Linked DNA regions of Mus musculus. The main gene of each other region encodes a partner of the protein of the gene in region 2 in a complex. Links are inferred from orthologs where the notes say so. Each region holds a gene or a part of one and is shown on either strand. Other genes may lie near its edges. The genes, in order: Mta1, Cdk2ap2, Mta2 and Mta3.

The links.
Region 1: Cdk2ap2 (region 2) and Mta1 share a complex: the UniProt entries of both Homo sapiens proteins name them as parts of the nucleosome remodeling and deacetylase (NuRD) repressor complex. The link is inferred for Mus musculus from reciprocal best matches to the Homo sapiens genes CDK2AP2 and MTA1.
Region 3: Cdk2ap2 (region 2) and Mta2 share a complex: the UniProt entries of both Homo sapiens proteins name them as parts of the nucleosome remodeling and deacetylase (NuRD) repressor complex. The link is inferred for Mus musculus from reciprocal best matches to the Homo sapiens genes CDK2AP2 and MTA2.
Region 4: Cdk2ap2 (region 2) and Mta3 share a complex: the UniProt entries of both Homo sapiens proteins name them as parts of the nucleosome remodeling and deacetylase (NuRD) repressor complex. The link is inferred for Mus musculus from reciprocal best matches to the Homo sapiens genes CDK2AP2 and MTA3.

The regions. Positions count from the first base shown.
Region 1 is NC_000078.6:113,096,364-113,101,381, reverse strand, and holds the start of Mta1 (metastasis-associated protein MTA1), read right to left. Parts: upstream 3,105-5,018; 5' UTR 2,965-3,104; coding exon 2,937-2,964; intron 1,013-2,936; exon of another isoform or gene 945-1,012; intron 848-944; exon of another isoform or gene 772-847; intron 1-771. UniProt on the Homo sapiens protein: Transcriptional coregulator which can act as both a transcriptional corepressor and coactivator. Acts as a component of the histone deacetylase NuRD complex which participates in the remodeling of chromatin.
Region 2 is NC_000085.6:4,095,556-4,100,190, forward strand, and holds Cdk2ap2 (cyclin-dependent kinase 2-associated protein 2), read left to right. Parts: upstream 1-1,795; 5' UTR 1,796-1,870; coding exon 1,871-1,952; exon of another isoform or gene 1,953-2,156; coding exon of another isoform or gene 2,157-2,178; intron 2,179-2,261; coding exon 2,262-2,362; intron 2,363-2,449; coding exon 2,450-2,582; intron 2,583-2,942; coding exon 2,943-3,010; 3' UTR 3,011-3,462; downstream 3,463-4,635. UniProt on the Homo sapiens protein: Acts as a component of the histone deacetylase NuRD complex which participates in the remodeling of chromatin.
Region 3 is NC_000085.6:8,944,664-8,949,217, reverse strand, and holds part of Mta2 (metastasis-associated protein MTA2), read right to left. Parts: intron 3,463-4,554; coding exon 3,345-3,462; intron 3,213-3,344; coding exon 3,149-3,212; intron 2,952-3,148; coding exon 2,834-2,951; intron 2,571-2,833; coding exon 2,468-2,570; intron 2,182-2,467; coding exon 2,082-2,181; intron 1,967-2,081; coding exon 1,778-1,966; intron 1,694-1,777; coding exon 1,619-1,693; intron 1,492-1,618; coding exon 1,433-1,491; intron 1,194-1,432; coding exon 1,096-1,193; intron 962-1,095; coding exon 822-961; intron 268-821; coding exon 39-267; intron 1-38. UniProt on the Homo sapiens protein: May function as a transcriptional coregulator. Acts as a component of the histone deacetylase NuRD complex which participates in the remodeling of chromatin.
Region 4 is NC_000083.6:83,704,784-83,709,788, reverse strand, and holds the start of Mta3 (metastasis-associated protein MTA3), read right to left. Parts: upstream 3,606-5,005; 5' UTR 3,532-3,605; coding exon 3,504-3,531; intron 1,391-3,503; coding exon 1,323-1,390; intron 1-1,322. UniProt on the Homo sapiens protein: Acts as a component of the histone deacetylase NuRD complex which participates in the remodeling of chromatin.

The DNA.
Region 1 (5,018 bases), on a different chromosome or scaffold from region 2:
GCCTTAATCCAAGCTCTCAGTAGGGACAGCCTCTCAAACCCTCACCCAACACCCACCCCTGCTCTCAGGCGCTGGCAGGAGCCTGGCAAGCCCACCTCTTAAGATGCAGTCTATCTTTCCACCCTGGCTGACCTCTTGGCCCAAGTGTTCTGGGGCTCCTGCAACCTCCTCCCCCATACTTTCACCGGCCTAACCCACCCTAACACGTCTTCCAGACAAGCTTGCCAGGGAGTACAGGACGCCCAAACATTGTGCTGCAAATCCCAATCTTTCCTGTCCACATGCCTTCACAGTTGGGACACTGGGGCAAGGCAGTTTTCCTGAAACTTAAACCTGACACGTGTGCCAAGAAGGGGGTGGGGTGGGGGCAGAGATACCCCAACCTAGGTCTCCACCAGCCACTATTCAGAACACATTTCCCAGGGGGCCAGAGCCCAGACAACAGACTGAACCAAGGCCTGCTCAGGGAGCCACAGTGTGTCCTCTCTCATCTGGGGGCCTGAGAATCTGGCAAGCAGTGACTGGGGCAGGAAGCCAACAGCCACCACCCAGAGCACCATTGCAAGGCCGTGCTGGGGCTCCCAGGATGGCACTAGAGTTCCCTATCCAAAAAGTCCTTTAGGGGCTGACCCTTCACCTGCCATGGATACCCTCTGGGGACCACTACCCTGCAAAGCACTACAGGCAATACAGATGGTACCCCAGACCACGCTTGGCAGCCAACATATACATAGGAACACAGACCTATCCCTACTCCTTAGTCATACATACTTGCTTGACACACAGGCTCAGGGTCCAGCCACCTATCCTCATGGGGCCTCAGACACTCCAGGATACCAGCTATGTCCTGGAGGAGCAGATATAGGACACAGGATGAAAACAGGGATGGATCTCTAGCCACGCCGTGGGGAAACAGGTACAGATGAGCCAGTCTAGGACCTCACCAGATTGCTAGGGCCTTGGCTATAGCCCCTCCGCCAGGCAGGCAGCTGTGGGACTCTTGGAAACGGGCTGAGACCTCAGTGCCCTGCAGACCACCTTCCACGCTCTCACCACCTCCCACTGCCTGAGTCAGATGCAGGAGCCCAGACCTTCACTCTTTTGCTATTTATTCATGCTATTTATTCATTTCTTCAGCATATGACATGCCATCATGGGCCAGAAACCATGAGAACCAGGAGGGGTGGGGGGTGGAGGTGGCCCAGGGGTCAGGGTCATACAGGAGTGGTGATGGGTGTTTCAGGGTGGTCTTCCACTCCAGCACACTCTCAGCAGAGCCCAGTTTTGCTAGTGGGGGAAGAGATTCATCCACATTTAGTCTGTGACCAGGAGGAGGGGCTCCAAGTCCAGATAGAGAGCAGGGTCAGGGACCAGGATAATGGGAGCCTTTCACGGGCAAAGGAGAACCTCTGAAATGAGGGAACTAGAGGTAGAACCCGAGGAAGCAGCAGCCATATCAGCAGGAACCATGGTGAACAGGAAGGGGGATCCTTGCAAAAATGGTTCACTGGGCAGAATAAGGGGCAACACCTGGAAGGGGGCCCCCTGGGGAGCCAGGAGCTAGCCTCTGCCCTGGAAAGCAGGCCAGTAAGCCTATAGCATCCAGTGACCTGGCCCACTCCCTCTGGGGCTGGCAAGGCTGAATCCTCACAGACCAGCCCCTCCTCATATGACCCCAGGCTGTATGACCTGTGGCAGGTCCTGGCAGAGAGCAAAGGTGTGAGATCAGGGATTCCCTGAGAGGCCCCTGCTGTGGGAGGCCTGCTGTGGGAGGATGAGCCATCCGTGTGGAGATAGCTGCACCCCTGTGCCCCAAGCCACAGAACTGAGCTGGCTGGGTCCCGCTGGTGTGAGATGGAAGGAAATGACCTAGGCACTCAGGGGTCGGGGTCTTCCGTAGGAGTGGTTGATGGGTGTTTCGGGGTGGTCTTGCACTCAAGCACACTCTCACAGCAAAGCCCAAGTTTGCTAGTGGGGGACAGCAGCAGACTCATCCACATTTAGGCTGTGACCAGGAGGGTCTCCAAGTCCAGAGAGAGAGCAGAAGAAGGCTATGGGATAACTATAAGGGTCAGCATGGCCTGGATGTGTGCAAGGCCATTCCGGAGTATCCTGGTCACACACACACATACACAAACTGGGCAAAGGGCTTCTTCCCAGGGCCCAACAACTGGGGGACCAGCCCGGGCAGACAGGCTCTCATGGCCCCAGGTCAGTAGGGACCTCTGGCCTTCCAAAGGCCAGGAAAGTGCCTCCTTGCTAGGCAGGGGTGAGCAGTAAGGCAGAGAAAAGTTTGGGGTGATTCAGACCTGCACTTGGGATGTAGGCCCCCTGCTGTAGCCAACCCTCCCCCCCAGGAATCCCTGCTAAGGAAAGCCCTCGGCTGGGACGGGCTCGTGGCCCCTGCAACAGGACTCACGGTGCCTGCACACCTAGCGGGCCCTGCACGGCCCCCTGAGGAGACCGCTTGCCCCCCAGACCCCGAAACTCCTGCTCGCGGGACCGCAGCCAGAGCTCCAGAGGCACGTGCTCCTGCTCAGGGGCTCCGGCCCGGACCCAGGCCCAGGCCTCCCGCCGCCGGGCCCGCCGGCCCCCGGGATGCCCTGGCCACCCTGGCCACTCGCCGCTACTCCGCCTGCGTCCCGCGGGCCACCCCCGGTCCCCAACAGGTGGGCATAGCCCCCTCCCAGCGCCGCTCGGCGCCCCGCGCGCGCGCGCCCCGGCACCGGCAGCCCAGGGGCCATTTTGGGCCGGGACGAGCACCGGAGACCAGAACCGAGCCTCGCGGGCGGGGCGCGAGCGCGACGGGGGCGGGACGGGGGGGAGGGGCGCGGGCCGCGCGCGAGGGCGGCGTGGGGGAGGCGCGGAGGCCGCGGCGGGGCCGGGAGGCGCGGGCGGTGGGCCCGCGGCGCATAAAGGCCGTGGCGGGGCCTTACCTCCGACCCTGTACATGTTGGCGGCCATGTCCGGGCCGGCGGCGGGGCCGCGGGGCGCGGGGCGCGAGCGCGGGCGGCGGGCCGGGCGCGGGCCGGGGCGGGGGCGGGCGCGGGGGCGCCGGCGGGCGGTTTAAAGGGACCGCGCTGCTCCGCCGCCGCCGCCGCCGCCGCCTCCGAGGCCGCCGAGGCCGCGCAGGGACGGGAGGGCCGCGGCGCGGGCGGGAGAGGAAGAGGAGGAGCGGCCGCGGGCGGCGGGGAGGGGCCTCGGGCGCCGCCGCCCACCGCGCGGGCCGTTACCCGACCCCGCGCCGCGCCGGCCCGCGTGCCCCTGGCCGAGTGGCCCTTCTGAGCCCTTAGCTCGCCTGGTCCTCGGCATCCCCGGATCGCCCTCCCACGACCCCTCCTGCCTGGCTCTCAGCATCCCCGGGTGGCCATCCGGAGCCCCACGCTTTCGTGGCCCTGGCATCCCGAGTGGCCCTCCTGCATCCTCTCCAAAGTGGTCCTCGGCATCCCTGGGTCAGCTGCTCATCCCTTGGAGGTCCTTCGAAGCCACTGCTGGAGTGGCCCTTGGCATCCCCAGGTGGTCCTCCTCGGCAGGCCCACACCCTGCGTCCCTGGGACGCACTCCTGCAACCCGCCTAGAGTGGCTGGCCCTCCACATCATTGATGGCCCTCCTGCGACCCCTCCGGAATGATACTTGGCATCCTCCAGTGGCACTCTCCAGGCCCACGCCCGCCTGGACCTCGGCACCCACTGGGTGGCCCTTCTTTAACCCTCAGTGGTCCTCGACATCCCTGGATGGCCCTCTTACATGGTCTTTCAGCTTACCTGGGAGGCTCTCCACGACCCCTCCCAAATGACTCGGGCATCCTCCAGTGGCACTCTCCAGCACTCTCCAGGCCCATTCCCTCCTGGCCCTCAGCACCCATTGGTGACCCTTTCCCTGCCCTCCCCCCACCCCCGCCAAGCTCCATGCTCACCTAGTCTTCAGCAACCCCAGGTCACCTCCAGAGACCTCTCACATACCTGACAAGGTGAGCCCTCCTAGGACTGGCTCCTTGGGAGTTTCTCACAAGGTTGCCTTGGGTCCTTCTATGTGAGCCCTTCCCTGCACCCCTGTGTAGGGATCCTTTCCAATTCTTGTAGGGGTCCTCAGTGTGTCCCCCATTGTCCAACCTCTTCAGTCACCCAGGAACATCATGACTATCCTTGAACAAGGCGGTCATGCTTGTTCCTGAAGTGCCAGGCCTCCCTCCGTGTACCTCCCTGCTCGCTTGGATTCCCTCCCACAAGCCCAAGCTGAAGCCAAGACCACATAAGCCGTGGGGCATTGCGGTGCTGAGGAAGGTGCCTCTTTGTGGCATCTGTGACTAAGGGCTTGCCTTTGCTTATCTAAGGTCTGTGAAGAGGGAGTTCTTAGACATTACCCCAAGGCCAGAGGACAAAAGGTTGTGTCCCTGATGGGACTCCTGTCCCTGCCACAGTTGGGGCAGTGAAAAGGAGCTGACTGGGAGTTCTGGTTGAGTCTGAGCACGGCGGGTTACTTTGTCGGTGGAAGTCTATGGCCGCCAAGTCGGCGTCCTCTTTGAGGTGCATTCTGTGGAGTGGAGTAAATGGCGCTCAGGAAAGCATTGTGGGCCACGGTGAGGGTTAGGCGTGGGGGGGGGGGGCTCAGGGCTAATGCACTGTACATAACTAGGCAAGAAATCTGCATGACGCTTGGACCCATGGAAGGGTCTCAAGGCCTAGGCCACCTCCCTGAGCAATGAGAAGAAACATCACTCTGGTCTACATAGTGAATTCCAGGACAACCAGAGCTGCATAGACCCAGTCTCAAAACAAAAAGCTAACCAAATAACATCTAGGCAGTGGTCAGGGCAGAGGGCATAGACTTGACATAGTCTGTAGCACCTCAGTTTGCCTCCGCCCCAGAGGTAGCCCTCCAGCCCCAGTTGCAGGCCTCAGTCCTCTTCTTCCTTGGGGAAAGATGGCAACCAAAGCACAGGTGGTCACGGCTGACTTCTAAAGGGGGCTTCTGAATTCCAAGCAAGCCAATGCTCTCCAGAACGGAACACGCTCCC
Region 2 (4,635 bases):
TTAAAAGGAGATTTATGGGCTGGAGAGATGGCTCAGCGGTTAAGAGCACTGATTGCTCTTCCAGAGGTCCCGAGTTCAAATCCCAGCAACCACATGGTGGCTCACAACCATCTGTAACAAGACCTGATTCCCTCTCCTGGTGTCTGAAGACAGCTACAGTGTACTTACATATAATAAATAAAATAAGTCTTTAAAAAAAAAAACAGGGAGATTTATTTAGCTGGGAGTGGTAGTGCATGCCTTCAATCAAAGCATTCAGGAAGAAGAGAGAGGATCTCTGTGAGTTTAAGGCCAGCCTGGCCTACATATTGAGTTCCAGGTTAGCTAGAGCTAGATAGTGAGACCCTTTCTCAGAAAAAAAAAAAAAAAAAAAGTCTAGGGTGTTTTCTCTGACTGTACGTTTGTGTACTACCTGCTTGCTAGGTGCCCACTGAGAACAGAAAGAGATATTGGGCCCCCTGGAAATGCAGTTACAGATGGTTCTGAGGCACTTTATGTAAATGCTTAGAATTCTAACCTGGGTCCTCTGGAGGAGCAGCCTGTCCTCTTACCTGCTAAGCCATCTCTGCAGTCGCTTTTTTAAAAAGTGAGTTGAGGGCTAAAGCAGCAGTTCTGCAGACATATATGCAGACAAAACACTCGTATACATAAAATAGTTTTATTTTAATTTTAAAGTGAATTGATTTCAAGGAAATAGGAACTAGATGGCCAGACCCAGGTGGGAGTTTCATTAATGACGTCAGAACAATAATCAACCATGCTTCAACCCATATGGGGCTGGCTCTCATCTCTATTTCTCTACCCACTTCCAAGTTTACTTTCCAGGTATTACTGTCTTCATGTTTCATGAGAAAACGGAAACCTATTAGGGCAAGAAACTGGCGTGTGACTGTAATCCTTTAGCATTTCCGAGACAAGAGCATCAGGAATTCAAGGTCACCCTCCCCTACCCGGAGAGTTCGAGTTCTGACTGGGCTACTTGAGACCTTGTCTCAATCTCATCCCACCCGCCAAAAAGAGTCCAGGAGGAAACCATTAATGAGGTGTTGAGATTCCAGCCAAGGGTCTTGACCAGGGTCCTGACTTGACCTAACGCAATTCTTGATCTATGATGCTCTATCATTGTCTGTGGAGAGAGTAGGGGACTTAGGGTTCAGTGTCGAGCAGCGTCGTTGGCTGCCTTGGACCCACCTGCCTAGACCGAAGATTCAAACCAATCCAGAGAAGGAGCTTGGTAATGACTTTGGTGAGGGAACCGTTGCCATGGGAACAAATACAGGCCTGAGGCGCGCACATGCGCACAGCCGAAGGGGGGGGGACACGGAACCAGTGAAAGGTGACGTAAAACGCTCGGGGTAGGGCGGAGTGCTCACACTGTGGGAGCCGTGGCCTTGGGAGTTCTGAGCGGAGGGAAGTCGCGAAGCGGTGAGGACGAAGTGTGTTCGGCGGCCCGCCACACACCACCGGAGCAAACCGCGGGGACCAGACTGGCCCGCTGCCGAGGCCCCGCCTCTTGGACCTCGGGACTAATCGGATTGAAAGCGCGCCGGCCCCGGGCCCCGAACTCGCCAATTGAGGAGGACGACTGTCACCGCCCAATCCGGGGCAGACAGGTGCGAGGTCCGGAAGGTGGAGGCCAATCGGCAGCGGTTGCGCCCTGCGGGGGCAAGATTCAGCCAATGAGGAGGCTCGAGTGACAGCTGAGCGCGCCAATCGAGAGTGAGGACCGATCGTGCCCGCCCACCCTTCCGGCCGGAGCTCTATTTACCAGGGGCGTGCAGCTCGCTTGCCAATCAGAGTGCGGCTGAGCTGCCGGACAGCCAACCCCAGAGGAGCGGCCGGCTGGCGGCCGCCGCACTGAGGAGTTGGGATGTCCTACAAACCTATCGCGCCCGCCCCCAGCAGTACCCCGGGCTCCAGCACCCCCGGGCCAGGCACCCCGGTCCCTACAGGTGAGGCTCCAACTCCATCCTTGTTCGCCTTGTCCGGGCAGTCGAGGTCTTGGAGAGAAACCGCTCGAGTTTTGCAATCCGGGGCCTGCTAGACGAGCCTGGCTCAGCCTCAGTTTGCTGGCCTGAGAAGTGGGCGTGGTCACGTAGAGCTTGTAGGTGGAGCGCAGGGGGGAGGAGTGTGTCTCCGAAGTTGTTCAGAGTGGAATGAAGAAGCATGCCGTTGGAGGTTAGTCAAGGGAACAGTCCTGGGCTTGGAAATCTGTGACGAGGCCCTTGTCACACTCTGACCTCTTGCTGGTGTCGTTGCAGCCGGGAGTGTCCCATCGCCATCGGGCTCAGTGCCAGGAGCTGCCGCACCTTTCAGACCGCTGTTTAACGACTTTGGTCCGCCCTCCATGGGGTATGTACAGGTGAGTGTGGCCAAGAGCTTGCTTATGGCTGAGGACAGGAGATCCCCTCGGGGTCTGAGATCACGTCTGTATTTTCTTTTGACACAGGCGATGAAGCCACCTGGTTCCCAGGGCTCTCAGAGCACCTACACGGACCTGCTGTCTGTCATAGAGGAGATGGGCAAAGAGATCCGGCCCACCTATGCTGGTAGCAAGAGTGCCATGGAGCGCCTGAAGAGAGGTAAGTGAAGCCACAGGCCTGCCCTTGCTCTGCCCAGGACACAGACACTGAACTTTAAGACAGTTCAGTAAGGATGGAGGATATCTAGAGTCAGGACAGGACATTTGGGCCAGCCTCGATTGGAACAGAACGTGTACCTAAGGAGGGGTTTTAAATGAACTTTTCCATTTTCAAATGAGTCTGTTTCCAAGAAGGTGCCTGGGAACTCGGATTAGCCAACCCTTAATCCCATCCATCCTCATTAGATTAGAGGTGCTCTTGCTGAACCATGGAGCGGTGGGGGAGTGTCTGCTCTGAAGGGTGGCTGTGGACTGTTTCTGGGGCCCTGTTTATTACTTCCCCATCCTCACCGCACCCCAGGCATCATCCACGCTCGGGCACTAGTCAGAGAGTGCTTGGCAGAGACAGAACGCAATGCCCGCACGTAACAGGAAGCACCTTGACCTCCTCGCCGGGACCTTTCTGGCCACTGCAGAGCGCCTGCTTCTCCCTGGCCTTCGCGCCCCAAGTTGCTTCCTATCCTGGGCTTCCTGTCCTGTGTCCCTTAGTGGGCACCCTCCAGGAACCAGGTAGCAGATCTTCGTCCAGTTGGCTGTACAAACTGGTCTCCTCCCTCTGTGGGAGTGCTGGGAGGCCACTGGGAGTCCCTTCCATGACCTGCTCACAGTGCTGATCTGACGGGAGCTTGCTCCTCTCTGTGGCCCCACCACACAGCACTTACTCCTTAACTCTTAGCCCAGGCCACCTCCTGCCTCTTCAACAGGAGTGCAGAAGACCTTCCTGCCTCATCTCTGGGGCCACAGCCGACTCTTTTTTTGGTGTGTCTTTTACTAAATATGTCCTTTTTGTATAAATAAAAGATGCTTTGGAGTCATTCTCTCAGCCTTTCTGTGTGTGGTTCCTCTGGGGAAGCCTGAGTGGGCAGAGGGGAAGGGCAGAGCAGGAACTGGGAAGGGCGCTTGAACCGAGCTTTGCCTTCCCATCTTGTCCATTGCTACCTCCAGCTCTGCGCCTTGCAGCTGAAGGCCAGACAGAACACCAATGATGTCTGCATAAGGAGGTGCCACCAGGGGGCAGCGTAGGGCTTGGCTGCCTTCACAGCTGGAGGCACTATTGGACAGCCGGAGCCTAAAGGGCCCTTCCTGTAGATTGGCAGGCATGCCTGGCAGGGTGGAAATACCAGTTCACTTAAGCCTCTCCCGTGAACGTCCTAATGCCCCTACACCAGCTCCGCTTTAAAACCATCCTTGGAAGGCTCTAAATACACCGGGTCCCTGACTCCTAAGGGAGGCAGTTAGAGGCTCCTTCCCCCCCACCCCCAGCACCTTGGCTTGATGCTGCTATCCACTGTCCTGACAACTTCCACAAGGCTGGGTGTGGCTCCATGAGCCAGCCCCGGGTGTCTCGGCCTTTGTACAGAGTCGGAGCAGTTAGATGGGTGTCCAAATTTGAGAACCTAGCAAACATAGTAGGGAAGGACTTGGGCTTCATTAAGGGGATGGCCTCTACCTGGGCATGTAGCTAAGTAACCGTGAAATGCCAACCTAGGCAGAGGCAATTGAGAACTTCCAAATTCTGGCTAACTTTGGGGTACAACATTTCCTCTAACCTGGGCTCCCCCTAGGTCAAATCCCACCTCTTCAAAGCACACAGGAGGGCTGCCCTGACTGGGCCTGGGTGGGAAATGAAACCAAGAATTCTTGGGGTGTCCAGACAGCACAGAAATAAAGAACTGGAATTTGGGGCCCGGCCTCTTCCCCGTCTGTCTTGGAGAAGGAAAGCAGGGGCCAGCCTTGCTGCGCCGCGGGCGGGGCTGCCCCGACCCTGCCGGGGTGGGGAGGACCAGCCGGGCCCAGGAAAGGGGCGGGGCAGCTGCAGTGACGCGGCGGGGAGGGACAGCAGGGGCGCCGGCGGGCAGACCGGGAAAAAGGTCGGGGCTATGGGCCGGCTCCGCGCCTCCAGAGGGTCGGGCTCCATCTGGAAACCGAGGCCGGGACTGGGGGCACAACGGACTCCCACCTTGGGGTCGACCACCCCTGCCCCGGTTGGGTGA
Region 3 (4,554 bases), about 4.8 Mb from region 2:
AGCAACTTTGGACTCATTGCTAGTACTCCAGTCCTTACACTCTGCCTTGATGGCATTGGCATTGATAGGTGCATAGGGTCTTCGGGCAGCCCTCCTTGGCTGTAATAGATCTCGGCACATTCGTCTGGCTAGACGAGTTAGCTTTGTGGTCTGGAGCAAGAAAGTTTGCCTGTTCTTAGCCAGCAACTTGGCCCGGTTAGCACTGGTTGTATAGGGGGAGAGACTTTGGGCTTCAGGTCTGGATAAATGACCTCTTGAGTGTGGCTCCTAGAGGAATGACATATGAAAAAGAGAAATCAACAGTGCAATTCTGTCCTCTGTCTCCTGCAGACAGCCAACTGTTTCTACCTGACCTCTTCAGTGAAACCCCGCCCAACCATCCTGGCTTCCCAATACTTAGCAGGTGCTCCTACGCATTTGAGTGTCTCCATGGAAGAAGAGGTCAAAGGTTTTCTGGCCTTTGCCTAAAGCACTCATAGGACCACTACTCTCCCCATCCCCACGTGTTCTTGCAGTTATTCTTTTTTGTTTGTTTGTTTTTTCGAGACAGGGTTTCTCTGTGTAGCCCTGGCTGTCCTGGAACTCACTTTGTAGACCAGGCTGGCCTCAAACTCAGAAATTCGCCTGCCTCTGCCTCCCGAGTGCTGGGATTAAAGGCGTGCGCCACCACGCCTGGCATCAGTGATTCTTTTCTATTTGTTGAGACAATATCTAAGTATGTAGCCCCAGCTAACCTGGAGCTTGCTTTGTATACCAGACTGGCCTCTAACTCACCCACCTGCCTCAGTCACCATGCCAAGTTCCCACCCACTGATTCTTACTGTGGTGCCCCGAGCAGCCCCTTCAAGTTGGGTAGGGGTCTTCAGTCCCCCGTATTTCTTCCAATAAATCCAACAGGAAGCACAAAGTCGGCACTGCATGTTAGGGGGTCCCCAGGCATACCACTGGGCAGACTGTGTGGCTACAAGAGTAGAGAGAGAAGGGAAATTTGCTGGCAGGAAATATGCCACCCAAGATCCTCAAATTCCCAGGACAGAGAATAAGCCACCCTAGGACCACCTATCCCCAGCAACCCTGTCCCCCCTTGGAACTCACTGTGGCAGCTCTCACAAGTCAGGCCCTTCTGGAATCCAGCCCCATTCATGCCAGGTTTTGAACCCACAGAAATGATCTGGTTAGGGTTTGGCTTGGTACTAATGAACGAAACAAGAGGAGAAGACAGAAGCTAGTTAAGAAAACAACCCACTTGTGTCTCTCTTACCACCACTTTACTTTCTATTTCCGACTCTCTGGAGTTCTGGGGATTAAGCCTACAGCCTTGTGCATACTAAGCCCATGCTTCTCACTGAGCTACAGCTTCTACAATTGCTTCTGCTTCCTGGTTACCCCCAATCATTAAGGAAGACACCATCTCCCTTTCTGCCACACTTACTAAGTGGGGATGTAGACCTGTTTCAGTTTGCTGTCTGCTTCAGCAGCTTTCAATCTTTTCTGTAAGAAGGAGAAAAACAGAAAGAAATTCAGAGCATCTCAGTACAAATTGAAATCAAACAAAAGAAACAGCAGAGAGGTAAGCAGATAGCCTCTGGTCCAGCCTCCCAGCCAGCCTGACCCATACCTGCTGAATATACCGGTCTGTGGTTTTCCACATGTAATAAAACTGGACTATGCTTGCAAGTGACTTCCAGGGTAGCTAAAAAGAACAGCAAACAGGATGAGATGGCATGTGATCCTAGCTCCATCGTCGTTCTCCCTCCTCCTAGTCCTGTTCACTTACAAAGTCCTGGCGGATATCATTGAAATCCTTCCCGTACTTCTCCAGAGCCTCTTCAAACAGCATGGCTTCAGAAGCAGACCATTCCTCCATCTCATCCCGACAGAGCACCGGGCCTCCCTGTGGTACTAGGGTTGACATAGCCTTGGCCAAGTCATAGCCATTCCTTTGCAAGGTATCCATGGCATGGAACTACCAAAAATATAGAACAAAGCTAAGGACTTGCTACTCTTTAAGCACCTTCTTCAGGACTCCCGCCCTCCTCTCCTGCCTCAACACGCCCAACTATCTATCAGCTGGCACTTACCAGAGTGATATCTCGGGACGCAGCAGCTGCACTCATGTGCAAGCTTGGCTGCCGAATTGAGCTGCTGCAGTCTAGGGCTCTCGCGAAGGTTCCCACAGCTCTAAAGAGAGATTGAGAAGTCAAGAAGGGTTCTCCCCTTCAAAATTCAAGCAGGTTCAGGAACTAATTAGAAAAAGAAAATGCCCAGGCCTAAAACAAAGCCCACTTTAAAAAAAAAAAAAAAGAAAGAAAGAAAGAGAGAGAGAGAGAGAGAGAGAGAGAGAGAGAAAGAAAGAAAGAAAGAAAGAAAGAAAGAAAGAAAGAAAGAAAGAAAGAAAGAAATTGGATGAGACGCAGAACTCAGTCCATTCCTCCCCAGCCCACCTTCCTGATCCACCCACCCTCACCGGGCCACCACGAGAAACTGATCAATCTGCCGGTCTGTGAGAGGGTTGTCTGGGTCCCAGACTTTCATCTCCATCTTCTGTTGGTTTCGATTATCTGATTCTCCTGAGGAAACAACAGAATCACCACGGAGGGAGAGAGGGAAATAACTCATAGTCACTCACAATGGCTCTTTTTCCTCTGCTCTGCTTGGAGTCTATCAGACCTCAGAACTCCCCTCCCAGCTGTGCCCACTTGTCTCTCTCATGTTCCTAAGTCTCACCCTGTCAGAGCCACAACACAACACCTAGCAGATTCCACACTGGTACCCCAAATCAAGCTATCAACAGAAACTTTCATGTTCAAGCACTTCTTGTTCTGTTGCTTACCCTCTGCCAAACGATCTGGGATCTCAGCTTGGAATTTGCAACCAACTCTGATCTCCCCTTGATCAGCCAGAAGTGTCTTCTGCACAGGATCAAACACCAGTGAGTAAAAAAAGCAGTCCTGAAGAGGAAGAGAGGAGGTTAGTGGGAAGGAATCTGCATGGACAGTAAGGTCTCTCCAGACACAGACACACACAGACACACAGACACACACACACACACACACACACGGCTGTGAGGTCCGTGGCCCCTTTACCACCTCACTTGCCTTTAGGGGCAACATTCTCTCACCTCCCTCTTATCCCAACAGCTCCTCACCTCCTTGTCTAGATACTGGTTTAAGATGTCTGTCTCGTTCAAGAGAGTCACGCTGCACTTCCCCCTAAGAAAAAGGACAAACCCAAAAGTCCTGGATGAGCAGCCCTCCTTACCTGCCATCTCCAATACACCACCCCCTTCTCTCCATCTTCTAAACAAGGGCACATAGACCACAGTGACCCTGATCGTCCTATACCTTATGTGGGTGGCTGGTAATGATTCAAACTGCCGAGAAAGAAAAAGCTCTCGGTGCTTCAGTTGATGTCTCTGCTGCTCGGAGACCCCTGGCTGTTTTGATTCCTCCTCAAACTCCCCTAGAATAGTGAGGAAAAACCAAGTCATAAACTAATTCAGAAACAGGTACCTTAGCCAGCTAGCTAGTCTGGTAAAGGAGAGCCTACCTCAGCTGCTGCCCAGCACTGCTTTCCTCGGGCAGCTCACTCTTATCCTACCAGCCCCCCCTTTCGGCCTTACACCTCAGTGTAGATGTTCCATCCTCTCTTTAATTCCGTCAAAGGAATTATCCCATCCTTATACTGTGAGAGTATAAGGATACCACAGAAATGCACCCAACCCTAGCTGCCAACACGCAGAAAGCACAAACAGAGCCATAATACAGTGTGACATCATATTTAGCTCTTTCTTGCACAACCAGTCCGAGGTCCTAAAATCCAGTTAAGAAGAAGTAAAAATAGCACACATGGTCGCTGTTTATTTACCAGCTCCTCTTCATACTTCAGGACTCCTTGCTGTGTCTGAAACATCACATGCAACCTAATGCTCCTTCTCTTTCTACTTGGCTAATAATAGTTTGTGGGCTTTCAAGAAGGGCAACTCTGAAACCAGTGCCAACACCTTCCTCACCAAGAGGCACCAAGAGGCCTGCACTGAAATCTCCGTAGAAACAGTTAACCTGGCTAAGTGCCAACCAAAGTAGAAGACAGAAACCTCAGGCACATGCTCATCGGTGCATTGTTCCCCTGAAAAATGGGGGTACAGATTTGGGGTGGGGGTGTCCGTGTCTCTCTGTGCTCTAGGAAAACCCAGAGGTAGGGCAAAAAGAACCACACCCCTACCCCTTCTGATTGGATAAGGCCAAGGTCAGCCCCTGCCAGATGGAGCCGGAAACCCCAAAGGGCCAGGAAACTTGGTAGGCCCAGTTCATTAACCCTTTCATGACTGCAGCCTGAAAAAGAATCTAGGAGGGAAAAAGGGAGTTAAAAGAAAACTAAGTGATGCGGGTAGTGCTGGCACACGCCTTTAATCCCAGCACCAGGGAGGCAGAGGCAGGTAGATTTCTATGTTCAAGGCCAGCCTGATTTACAGAGTGAGTTCCAGGACAGCCAGGGCTACACAGAGAAACCCTGACAAAGAAAAAAAAAAAAAAAAAAGGAAAGAAAAAAGAT
Region 4 (5,005 bases), on a different chromosome or scaffold from region 2:
AAAAAAAAAACAGAAACCAGAACCAAAACATCAGAAACTTCTCTTTTTTACTTTCCCCTAATCTGTGCTCAGATGAAATGACAGTAATCTTTTGGAGGAAGAACAGGAGAAAACCACATATACATATAAATACATACTACGTTGTGTTTATTTTCATTTCCTGTTTTTCTAAACCAGTGTGTACCGCAGTTTTTTTGTTTGTTTGTTTGTTTCAGTCAATAGTACATTTTAAGTATTTTAGGATAAGTGGTTGGCACATAGTTAAAGGCATTAAGTAAACAATTGTTGAACTAATGAGTCTCTAAACTGTCTAAGGTTTATGCTAATATATAACATTACTATTCATCAAGTACTTTGGTTCATTTGTTTGCCTGTTCGGTTTGGATTTTTTTGAGACAGGGTTTCTCTGTGTAGCCCTGCTGTCCTGGATCTCTTGTAGACCAGGCTGGCCTTGAACTCAGAAACCCACCTGTCTCTGCCTTTGCCTACCTAGTGCCAGAATTAAAGAAAGGTGTGTGCTCTGGCCAGCTCATTTTCTTTTCCTTTCATTTTTGAGTTCTGTCTCTCTTGCTAGCTTGGAACTCTCCAAGTAGGAGAGCCTGGTTGGCTGGTGCGGAAGCCCCAGGGCAGGATTATCAGCCTGAGCCACTAAACCGGTTTTTCTTTCAGATTCTGGGAATTGAACTCAAGTCCTCATGCTTGCAAGTCATCTCCTCAGCCTCTCATTTTGTTTTTTTAAGACAGTCTCAGTGATACAACGCAGGACAAACTCAAACTAGGTATCAGGTGCCTGTCACGCCGCCGACTCATTTTACAATTTTGTGTGTTGTGGGGAGGGGTGGAGGCTGAGACTGGCTGACACTGGGCTGCCATGCCCCTGACTCTAGGCATGAACCACCACGCCCAAATTAGATTCTTCCTTCTAAAGCTCGAGGAGGAATATACTCATTCACTAGCAGATGTGAAACAGCGCTTGGGAAACTGAGGCAGGAGGATTGAGATTTTTTTGGAAGTCATTGTAAGCCTAGCTCAAACAAACATGCCTAATGTTTAAATATGAAACATGCCTACAGTCTTAAATATGAACAGAAGTCAAGTTACACACAACTGGCCTGATCTTCAAGGTTCAAAGCAATCTGAAGAAACAAACGTAACATGGGTCAAAAATCTTTATAAGAAGCCAACAAATATTCAGATGCCTGCAGAACTCTGTAATTAGCCTGGAACTGAAAGTAAAAATCACCTCTCGGGCCCTTTACCCAGTAACCCTTAAAGGGGAAGCGCTTCGGTGTTGGCCAGGTGATGCCACACTGCTCACTCACCTTGTTGAGCTCCTCTATCCGTCTGATGAGGTACGGGTTGCTGGAGGAATTCTCAAAATAAACGTAGTCTGCAAACAAAAAACGCACAGGTCTTTTCAACCAAGAGCTCACATTTGACAGCTCAGAGCCCTTTTCTTGTTTTTGTTTATTTTCCGTTTTGTTTTAGACAGGGTCACATGAGATAGCTCGGCATGTCTCAGAGAGCTTGCCTTGTTCACCAGACTGGCCTCAAACTCACAGCAGAGACCTGCCTGCCTCTGCCCAGGACTGGAGAGCTGGGATTAAAGGTGAGCCACCATCTCTTGGGCTACAATTCCCTATGCGTTAGGAAGTAGGCAAGCCACTGTAAGGCAGCCTCTGTAAGCGGTTCCAAGTTTATCACCGTCCTAGAATTCCCACCCCTGACGAAGTAGCCCAAGCTCATCTAGAACTAACTCAACATCCCCCAGCCTCACACACTCAAGTGGAGATTAGTGGTATGTACCACGTACCACATCCTGCTTACATTTCATTTTCTTTTTGAAAATAGCAGTCCGGGCTGGCAAGAACTGGTGAAGTAATTGAGACTGGCCTTCAACTCCTAAGCCTCCTGGCCCAACACTTACAGGCTGAATTTACTGGCATGTGCCACAGTGGTCACCCTTGAATTAATTATTTAATTTAAAAAAAAAAACAAAAAAAAGCATGGCTTGCTGTAATTGGGGGGAGTGGGACACAAAGGCAGGAGAATCACAAAGCAGAGGCCAGCCTCGTGCTACATAGCAAGACTTTGCCTCAAACAACAACAAAAAGCACAGGTCTTAAATCCCAGCACCTATGGAGCAGAGGCAAGCAGATCTCTGTGAGGCCAGCCTGGTCTAGGACTGAATCCTAGGGCATCTAGGCCTAAGTAGACACCTTGCCTCAAACAACCAAACAACCCCACCACAACATGATAGGCAAACCCCTTCATCACTATGTATCAGAGCTCATCAACGCAGCCTCCCACTAGCGCCTCATCCCTCCAATCCAACCAGCCCTCAACAACGATTCTTACATAAAAGTGTTGACCTGAGACAAATCAGGAGAAAAAGAAAGGCTTAACAGCCCAAATTCATTTCAAACATCAACTTAAAAAAAAAAATCGGCAGGCAGAATGTGTAAGGGCAAGCAGGTATCAAACTTTTCCTTGCTCTACCTGGGATGGTGAGGAATAGGGGCTGGGTGTTGGGTTGTTTTTTTTCCCCCCTTTTTTTATATTTGATTCAACTCCATTTAGACCCTTCTTATAAAGAAACCATGGCAAGTTTTCAACCAAAGGTACAGGATTTTTCCTCTACAGAGTGGCTGGAAACTTCCCACTATGTGTTTACCTGAGAGACTAGACTGCACAGTCACGGTCTACCTAGGCGGCTCTCTCCCAGCCCTCTGCTGCTAAGTGGCCTCATTTAGCCAGGCCATTCCCCCACCATCATCCATCAGGAGCTCGGCTAATGAGCAAAGACGGAAGAGCAAGTCTCACTCACAAACACGCCACTTATCTGAATTATTATTTTACCAGGAAGGAGGGAGGGAGGGCGTCGTGAGCAGGGAAAGTTTGTTTGACCTTATTTCTCTCTCTTCTGCAGAAGGCTGGAAAGACAGACAGCAGAGCCAACGTCCAGGCTGAGCTCTACTCCCTACCTGGGGCTGCGGCTCCCTGGCCCCACACACAGCCCCACTCTCAGGGGGACTGAACGGGAAACCGAAGGGAATGGGGGGTGAAGCAGCGACGGTGCAGGGCCCGGGCTCTGCAAACAGGCCTGTCGAGCTCTGCCCCCCACCTGGGCCACCATCGTCCCCAGCCCACGCTAACACCGAGGCAGAAGCCGGGGTTTGGGGTGAGGGGTGCTCAAGCCCCCCTCCCTCGTGCCCAAAAGCCACGCGAGGGAAAGACCACTCAGCTAGGGGGCTTGCAGGGGCTCTGTCCCTTTGGGGCGTTCGTAAAGGGGGTGTCCGATGCGTGTCCCCAGAAGAGGCCTGGCCCCGAGACGCCGGGCAGGAGCGGTGGGGGAGGGGAGTGGGGGTGGGGATCCCCCTGCGCCCCGCCCGCGGCGCCCTCAGCCCCGGGCTCCCGGGCTGCTGGCAGTAAGCGTGCGCTGCCCGGACCCCCGCTCCCACCGCCCGCTCCCCGACGGGCCGGGAAGGGCCGAGCCTTCCTACCTCCGACCCGGTACATGTTGGCCGCCATGTCCGCCCGCCCGCCCGCGGAGCCCGAGCCGAGCCCCGCCCGCCGCCGCCGCCTCAGCCTCGACCGCCGCCGCTGCCGCCGCCGCCGCCGCCTCGCCACGGGGGAGGGGGAGGGACGGGGAGGGGACACCGAGGGAGGGGGCTGTGCCCGCCCCCAGCGCCGGCAGAGCGACGCCGAGCGGGCCCGGGAGGCCGGAGCACGGCGGGAACGGGGCGGCGGGCTGCGGGGGGCCGAAGACCCCAGGGGCCACCCGCACTAGCCTCGGGGTAGCACACCAGGGTCAGGGGCTGTGGAAGAACCAGGGTGGGGACAGAGGTTCAGCCACTCCGAGCGTCTCTCTCGCCCGCGTCACCTGTCCACCTTGGGACAGGTTCTCCTTTCCTGCTTCTGTTCCCCAGGGACACCCCTCTATGTGTGACCTCAAGCACACGAACGCCCTTCTGGGTACAACTCTCCGATGCAGCCAATGCAAGCGACAGATGCTTGTTTGCGTCCCTCCCTCGTGGTGAGAGGACGTTTGGTGGCTTTAGAGCCTACAGGCCCTGGGGCCAAGAAGACCCTACGTACTTGCAGCTTGCTCAAGTCTGAGACCCAGCTATGAAAAGAACTGGAAGCTGACTTTCTCACCCCGACCACACTGGCAGGTCAGTCGTGGCTGTGCCAAAACTGGGCTGAACAAAACCGACCCCCCCCCCCACACACACACACACACACACACATCCTCTAGCCCTGCCTCTAAACAGGCTTTGTGTACAGCGTGTGCTTTGACCAGGGGAGGCCTTCAGCACAAGAGGGCTTCCTTTGCCGGTAGAAGAACAGGGTTTCCACAATCCGCAGTTTTCCCCCCATCAAAAGGAGGAGGTCGTGTCTAACAGCTTGGGGTTGCTGGTCAGCTAACTAGTTTTATGTCAAAAAGCACGTCCTCGCCCCAATCCCCGTTTTTGGTTTTTTGGTTTTTTTTTTTTTTTGCATTAATGGGGATTGAAGCCAGGTCTTTGCACAGGCTAGTCATTTAACTATAGAACTAACTTTTCATGTTTGTTGGTTTGTTTTTAAATTCTTAATACACTTATTTACTTATCTATCCATCCATGCATCTATTTATCTATCTATCATGTGAGGGCATGAATGCTATGAGATATATATGTATAGGTCTATCATAGGAGTAGAGATTGAACTCAGATAGTCAGGCCTGGCTATACTGAGCTACCTCACCAACATTACTTGTTTTAATACGGGTCTCAGTTCAGGCTGGCTCTTGTAGCCTCCTGCCTCAGCCTCCTGAGTGCTGGGTTATATTACAGGTGTAGGATCACTTGTCCCATCAGAAAGCTCTTAAGTGGCTAGTTTTCCCATGCTGAGTAGCTATAGATCCCTTTTCACGTTCCTCACACCCTCTATGAGGTTTTGAATATAGATGGTCCTCATAGTACTAAACACCTGTAACCCTAGTATTCCATAGGCAAAGGCTGGA